Xenopus tropicalis: one gene and its partner. The protein of the gene in region 1 interacts with the protein of each later gene in a pairwise test. Links are inferred from orthologs where the notes say so. Each region holds a gene or a part of one and is shown in the gene's direction. Other genes may lie near its edges.

The links.
Region 2: the proteins of gnb5 (region 1) and gng3 interact in a two-hybrid assay, tested with the Homo sapiens proteins (2 studies listed by BioGRID, with this or other methods). The link is inferred for Xenopus tropicalis from reciprocal best matches to the Homo sapiens genes GNB5 and GNG3.

What each region holds. Positions count from the first base shown.
Region 1 is NC_030679.2:102,066,025-102,069,853, forward strand, and holds part of gnb5 (guanine nucleotide-binding protein subunit beta-5), read left to right. Parts: intron 1-935; coding exon 936-1,027; intron 1,028-2,554; coding exon 2,555-2,603; intron 2,604-3,829. UniProt on the Homo sapiens protein: Enhances GTPase-activating protein (GAP) activity of regulator of G protein signaling (RGS) proteins, such as RGS7 and RGS9, hence involved in the termination of the signaling initiated by the G protein coupled receptors (GPCRs) by accelerating the GTP hydrolysis on the G-alpha subunits, thereby promoting their inactivation.
Region 2 is NC_030680.2:34,651,801-34,656,206, reverse strand, and holds the start of gng3 (guanine nucleotide-binding protein G(I)/G(S)/G(O) subunit gamma-3), read left to right. Parts: upstream 1-1,408; 5' UTR 1,409-1,462; intron 1,463-4,197; 5' UTR 4,198-4,201; coding exon 4,202-4,300; intron 4,301-4,406. UniProt on the Homo sapiens protein: Guanine nucleotide-binding proteins (G proteins) are involved as a modulator or transducer in various transmembrane signaling systems.

The sequences.
Region 1 (3,829 bases):
CAGAAGTTTAGGGGCGGCATGCCGCCCCGCCGCAAGAACATTTTTTAATTTTGCTCCCATACGGAGCAGTCGGGACCTCTCCCCACTGCTCCGTATGGGAGTTAAAAAGAGCGTTCGCGCATGCGCTGGCGCTTTGCGCATGCGCAATGGGGAGCTGGCGCTTTGCGCATGCGCACTGGGGGCGCGCTTGCGCATGCGCAACGGGAGCGCGTTTGCGCATGCGCACCGCGGGGTGCGCGTTCGCGCATGCGCATGGGGGACTCCCACAGGGGCGGCCTCGGGGCGCACCAAAGAGAAATCCGGCCCTGAGTAGAGGCTTGGCAGAGCATCACCAGAGAAGATACTTAGCACCTGGCAATATCTATTAATCACAGACTTCAAGGGATATGCAACAAAGTACTAAACATGATTGCTTTAATGTAGCTACCTAAAGTGTTGTCATTTCTACATAGTGAAACTTAAATGTATGCAAAGTCAATAACTTTTTAAATTGTGGCAAATAGAGTCTCCTTTTACAGTATGATATTTGCATTTATGCTAACTACAGACGGGATCAAGTTAAGAATGCCAATAAGTGCAGGGAAGGTGGCCAATAGCTTTTTCCTTAAGTTGATGGCCCCAGCTTTCCTGCATGTTGCTGGAAGCCCTCTGATGTTACTGGCTAAAGAAAAACACCTTGGCCAGCCCATACTTTAGTGAGCTCTGTAGCTTAGAAATGCCCTTGCACATGACTGTCTCAGGGGAAGGCCTACTTCTAAATAGGGTATGTTTGTCCATTAGTGTGTCTCCCTTGGGGCTGTGCTAGTGTTTCTGTCAGTATGTCTGTCAGTGCCAGGTTTAAAAGGTGTTGGATTTCCTGGTACAGAACAGCACTTGAAGACTGGATCCAGATGATTTCTCTTTTTACTCTTATTTGTGTGTCCTTTTCTATTTAGGGCTGTGACAAAAAGGCAATGGTATGGGACATGCGGACAGGGCAGTGCATCCAGTCGTTTGAAACCCACGAGTCTGACATAAACAGTGTCAGGTCAGTCCTTTCCCATGCTCTGTGTTTGCTTTGCCTAAATATAAATTTAGCTTATTCCTGTTTTACATATGGCATCAGGTATCAGAACAGGTTTATGCTATACATTTAGCCTACACAGGGAAATGTACCATGAAACTATTTCCTCTTAAGCAGACAATCAAAGTTAGTGGGGAATAGTTTATCTCATATTTGGTATGTATGTGCTTCCTTTTCTTTGCATTTACACATGAGTGGGAAATTCCATATCATTTGTCTAAATACAAATACATATTGTTATAATGATGGCATTATTGATTGAAGAAATATGTGTACTTGTACTGCATATAACAATGTAAGCCCACAGACATGCTGATATCTCAGGCATAACACTCAGGTTTGAGGCTTGATCAAGGGGAATGAGAAATATAAAATCCATCTTGTTATAAACTATTTATGTCTAATAAACCAAGTAAACAATATCTCCTGGTTTAAGGAAGTCTCTTAGAAATTATGATAGTAATTTATTCATGTTCTACAGAGAATAAACTTTATTGTATAAGAAACCCTCATTCTAGCATAAAACACCAGGGGCTACTATAAAACTGGGGTTTGGACAGGTATTTTGTCTGAACAAACAGAAGCACCACAACATTAGGTGATATCCCATGTGTAATTTGGCATTTAATCCTACAGCAACGTAATAACTTAATGTGTTATCTCAGCATCTGTCAGGTATTCTTTAAATGACTAAATTAACATATGCAGTTATACATACTGTATGCTTAAATGGTGCTTTCAGATGTTTTGCATCTCTTCTAGAAATGTGTATCACTTTGTGGGCCAAGTGGGTCAGTTGAAAACATCAGTATAAGGGCTGTTACACACAAACATTTGCCATGCATTTGCTGCACTGTTTCCTCTGCGGGGAAATGCAAGAATAAGCGTTAGTGTTTGTGTGTACTACTTTAGCATCAGTCCCTCTCCCACTGGATCTATCTAAGAGTGGCCATACATGGGCAGATTTAAGCTGCCTATTCAGTTGATTCATACTATCGGCAGCTTATTTGCCCGTGTATAGGGCCCTCCAACAGGCCTACCTGGTTTAAAAATCATATTGTTGCGAGGGGACACATCGCCTGCCAAAATGATTGGATCAGCCCAATATTGCCCACCTTGGTGCTAGCCATTACAAAGAGCTAATCATTTATTTATAAAGGCTTGTATTTTTTATGCCAGATTAATGTTGGAAACTATGCCATTATTTTACACCATCTTACACCTGGAATCGTCATGGAAATCATGGAACATATTTACCTTTAGAGATACAACTCATTGTGTTTATGGACAGGCGTATGACTTCCTTATACTGTATGATTTTAAAGGTGCTACTAATTAGCCCAAGAAGGCTTCATTAAAATCATATGACTCCATGCTATAATTATCATCAAAGCATTTAGCCTGAATGGTCAATTTGCATTGCCATGAAGCTCTTTAAAGATCTCTTAAATCCCTACTTAATTGCTAATAATATTTGCTCTTTCTGCCCAGATACTACCCAAGCGGAGATGCATTTGCTTCTGGTTCAGATGACGCCTCGGTAGGTTTTAGCATCTATTCAGCACATAGCATGTTGTACTTGGGGCTGTATCCATATTATGGGGCCAGTTAATTAATATTCAGTCTTTTTTAGAGATTGGTAATTATGTTTGCATCTCTGTTAAAAAATACATAAAGTTCAGGTTTAACAATCTCTTTTCTCTGGAAAGATACTTTGTTTGAATTGTTAATACCATCCTTGAAATTTGCATGGGGGATTAATGATTGAACATAATGTTGTTCAACTGCTCAAAATAAGAACACAATCTGTCAAACTGGCATATTTATGAACATTGATTAAGCTGTCCATTTTGTCCTGTTAAGTATCTTGACAGGAAAGTGTTATTAAATGTGAAAAAAAATGGAACTGCCTAGTTCATCTGCCCCTAAATGATTTTTTCATTAGTCACCAGCTTGCACATTGCTTTGGCATTCTTCACAATACTTTAATTGCAGGGAGGTACTCATCCTGATTATTAATTTTGTATTATGTATTACTTGTTTCAGAAACATGCGAATTGTCTCGTGCATGACTCACGCCAGCTGAACTCTGGCCAAGGATTGCTAGGCATTTCATGATGGTTTTAGTGTGAGAACAGAAACTTAGGAAATAAGGGTGGCAGAAGGAAATGACATAGTAGCATAGGTATGGGACAGAGAGAAGAGGAGGCAACCAGGTCTGAACTGGAATTAAAATAGGTGCTGCCATTTCTAGTACACAGAGGCCCAAACAGACTAAATAGTGACTGTCTATGGAATCATACAGTAACCCCACTGGCATTTGCCAAAATCCACAGATTGCCAGTCCAGGCCTAGAGGCCAACAGATAGAAGCATACATAGGGAGAATATATGCAAAGGCATAAGGTATCATTCACATGCAGAGGTCAAAGAACACAATTCATCCAGTTCACCAGTTCACAAATACCTCAGACTAGAATGCACAGAAATAAACTGAAATATATTTTCAAAAAAATACCACCTATTGATGCACCTATTCTAAGCAGCTTTCCTTGTTCTTTATTCATTTTAACTGACCCCAGCACCAAGAAACACATTATGCTTGTGAGGATTCAGGTTAAGGGGCAGTTTTACTAAAACTTGAATAAACTTGGCCATACATGCACCAATAATATCGTACGAAACCTGAATGTCACTGGAGGGTTGGAACGATCTTTCGTGCGCCGATGGTCGCACAAACGATCGAAAATTGCCACATGTGTGGCCA
Region 2 (4,406 bases), on another chromosome or scaffold:
AGTTGATCGGAAAGGTTAGAAAATTTGTCTGGATGATTTCCTTGGGTGACCTGCAATGGAAGTCACTTACGATTGGTGTCTGCCAACTATTTTATGTTCAGAACATATTTTAAGGGCTTTATCCTACAATTTTAGTCTAAATGTTAGTTTCAGATCATTGAATTTAAACACATGATCAATATCCAAATGTTTGTCGGACTTAAATCTGAATGTGTATGGCCACCTTAATCCCCTGGTAACTTCGCGGGTGCTGCCGTCTGAGACTCACCTCATGGCAGCGCCCCTGGCACCATAGGCCATCAATTTTCTAAAATAAAACATTTCACTGATAAGTAATGATTTACTTTTTACAGCAGTGTGCTTGACATTTAATTTGGTGCTCTCTCATATTGCCATGACTTATCATATTAGAGTAGGGGGTTAGAAGATTAATATTAGGGATGCAACAAATCCACTATTTTCGGATTCGGCTGAACCCTGGATCCTTCGTAAAGGATTTGTCTGAATACTGAACTGAATTCTAATTTAGATATGTGCACGCATGGCGCACTTCCATGTTTATGTTACAAAAAGTCACGTGATTCAGTTCGACCAGGAGCGTCGGTTTGGCCGAATCCGAATCCTGCTGACGGTCGAATCTTGCCCAAATCCCAACCTGAATTCTGGATTCGGTGAATCCCTAATTACGATCTTGTAATATTGAAATGTAATATTAAAATAAATGTTCATTAGCACTCAGACAGGTAACACCTAGCTGGTATTTTACCATGGTGACCCTAGGTACAATTTTGTTTGGTTTTGTTACTCAGTATTGCTCAGTATAAAGGCTTTGCATAACCCAATATCGTGCATTTTCTAGCTGAAATTCTCTGCATGTGCCCAATTACAGGCTGATTTAATACACACCGGGTACTAGAGTGCCAACATGAACTTCCCCATGCTGTTACCTACTTTTATATTTTGTGGCTTGCTTTAGACTGTAAGCTCTTGCAGGAAGAGCCCTCTTTACCCAATGTTTTAGAGTGCCTTTAAATTAGTTGCAATGTACCCACATATACAGCACTGCAAAACATTGTAGTACTTTATTATTCAATTTAATAATAATAATAAAAAATAATATGCTCAGTTTGCAGATTTAAAGATGTTTTAGATAAATATAGATATTACATAAAGATGTAATAATTTTATTAAAATATATAAGGGCAGTCGCTCCTACCATCTCTCCTCCTTTTGTTTTTGTTTCTCCTTTTCATCCCCTCCCTCACCCCACTCTAAACCTTAGCACTGTGTTTTCATTTTAAATCGTTCAGTCCTCTATCTCCCTCCCTTTCCTTTCACCCTCCCATCCTCCTTCAGTTGGTTTCTCCTCCCCCTCTGCTTTGTTGTAGGGTGTGTGTATATGGTACAGCTGCAGTAAAGCGACTGATCAGCATCCTGTATCCCTCCACTACCAGACAGACAGGTGGGTACCACAAACTATGTTTTCTACCTCAGAGGAGAAGGAAGGCACCGAGTGTATTTTGTAATGGGATGCACTATGTCAAGTGATGCACTATTCATTAAATGTTAGCCTGCTGTCCATTGGGAGTAATGTGCCCCTCCCTGCAGCTTCCATCCTTGCAAATGGCCTAGAATTGTGTGGAGATAAATCTGTAGAAAGGGGAATATGCGGGAAACTGGGATGGGCAAATGCATCATGGGGGGATGATGATGAGGATAGATATCACAGGAGTAAATGAATGAAGAGCATGCATACTGTAATTCAGGCCAAAGGATCTCACAAGTCAGGGCTGAGCACAGAGATGGAGAAAATGAATTGTTGTAACAATACCGGAGGATGGATATGACAGAATGAATGGCTGAAGAGCATGCATATAGTAAATCAGGTTACAGGGCCCCTCCACAATAAGAATTTGTCTGCACTGGTTATGGTTACTTCTGGAAAATATGACAGCACTTGGTTAATATTCAGCAATGATGGAGGGCAGGGCTACGTTTCAGTCACAGATCTTTGCCAGCAAAGGAATCATGTGTATATGCTGGTGTATATTTATATTAACTTGCACAATGTTCTAACCCAGGATGAGGCGGTGTGGAGCTTGTGTCACTAGAGATGGAATCGTGCACAGAATATTTTTTATTACAGTCTACATGTACTGTAGGTGTAGGGCAGTTATTGGGGTTACATTAAGGGATACCACTATCAACTACAGAAATAATACATGGTACCCCTGCTCAAAAGGTGACCAAGAGATTTAGCCACTTTCTTATATCTGATTAAATAAATAAGCTATATGGCACAGGTATTGGGACACTTTATATGAGCAATATTATATGTATATAATCTCCTCAGTTTAACACTCAATGCTGAGTTCCAAACTCTTATAGCAACATCAGCACAAAATCTATTCATTTTTGTCATGGCTGAGCAATTGCACACTAGCCTAACTTCACAATGTGGGGGTGTGCTTCAGCCAGATGATTGCCTTACCTTTTGGCCTGGCACTGCATAAAGCCAACTGTGAAGTCTGGTAAAAGAAAAATAGCAGGGATGCACCGAATCGTGGCCTTTTCTAGCAGGATTTCAGCCGTATCCAATTGACTGGCCGAAACAAATCCTCGCGTGACTTTGGGTCACACAATTAAGGCTACTACTAGATATTTCCTTGTGCTAATTTGAATAAGCAAATTATGGTTTGGATACAGTCAAAACCTTGTGACAGATTCAGCATTTGGCTGAATTCCCCAAAGGTGGATTTGGTGCAACCCTAAAGAACAGCAATCTGTGGTTTTTATAGTTCCAAGATCATTGTTTCTGGTAAAAGCAAACCTTAATTCTACAGCATACAATTACTTTGTTGATAATTCCGTGCTTCTTATTTTGTGGCAACAGTGTGGGGAAGGCCTATTCAGGTTTAGGTATTATGATACCCTCATACACAAAGAGAGTGCCCTTAACCCAACTGAACGCTGACTGATCCCCAGCATCAGTGCCCTACTTCACTAATGTGTTTGAGGTCAAAATGCCAACAACTGTTTCAGCATCTAGTGAAAAGCTTTCCCATGCAAAGTAGAAATGATTTTAACAGCAAATGTCAGACCAAATTCATATTCTAACCCTGGGTTTTGGCACGAGATGTTGGACAGGCAAGTGTTTAGATACTTTTGGCCATACAGTGTATATAAATAAAAATGTTATATAGTGGTTACCTTTTTTTAATTTTGTGGTTGCAGAATAATAGTTACAGAAGCCGGTAGGACCTGCCGCTCTATTTGCTGATTCGTGTAGTCCTATTGGCTTCTGTAAATCCCATACAAGCAAACAGAACGCAACTTAAATGCCCACTGATGCCATCTCTATTTCATCTTTTAATAAATATGCATCAATATGTTTCTTATAACTAGAAATGTTTTTCCTTTTTTGGCACTACACTACCGTGCAGTGTGCTAAGTGCCACTGGCTTACCTGCTCAACCCGGGAAAGGAGGTAGCAGCAGGTGAAACAGATGGGCGGGACTAGTAGCGTTTTTGGAGACTTTTTTTTAATAAATCAGCAGCCTTAAACATCTTCTTTAAGCACATTCCTTCTATATTTAGGATGCACTGGCCCATTCTTGTTTTTTTTTTTTACACATCTCCTTTAAAGGCACCTTAGAAGTTTATCTTCTGGTTACTTGTAGTAGGTACAGTATATGCCTTCATATGTACAGCAGCCCATTTTGTAGCCTCCCCATGCACAACTGTCTATTTTAGTATGGTCAGAGAGCTTCTTCTATGCCAGGCCCAAAGAGGTGGGAGTGCATATAGCTGCTTATATACCAAATGATTTTTTTCTGTTCCAAAAAAATCTGGCTTTATTTACTCCAATATTACATTATATATCATTAGTCAAACCTGCCTAGTTTTCCAAACCATCCATCCAAACCTTTCTTAAAATGCTCTATTGCATCTGCTAGTAGAGCTGCAGTACAACTTCACAGCTCTCACTACAAAAATGCTTTTCACACCTTAAAATGAAACCTCCTGTCTTCCAGTACCAAGGGATGCCCTTATGTCCTCTGGGATATACATATATATCAATAGCTAATATAATGTGTGCATAAATAATAAAATAAATATCCTTAATATTTATTATTTCTATATTATATCTATGCACACACACAGTACATCCATGATTGTATGTATTTTCCTATGCAGCACAATGAAAGGCGACACACCAGTGAACAGCACTCTGAGTGTGGGACAAGCAAGAAAAATGGTGGAGCAGTTGAAGATCGAAGCATCCATGTGTCGCATAAAGGTGTGTACAAAAATATAAATACTCTGGTCTGATAGTTATCATTTATCTTGCACATAGTAAACCTATAGTCAGTATGTTTAAAAACATCAACACAAAATAATTGAGG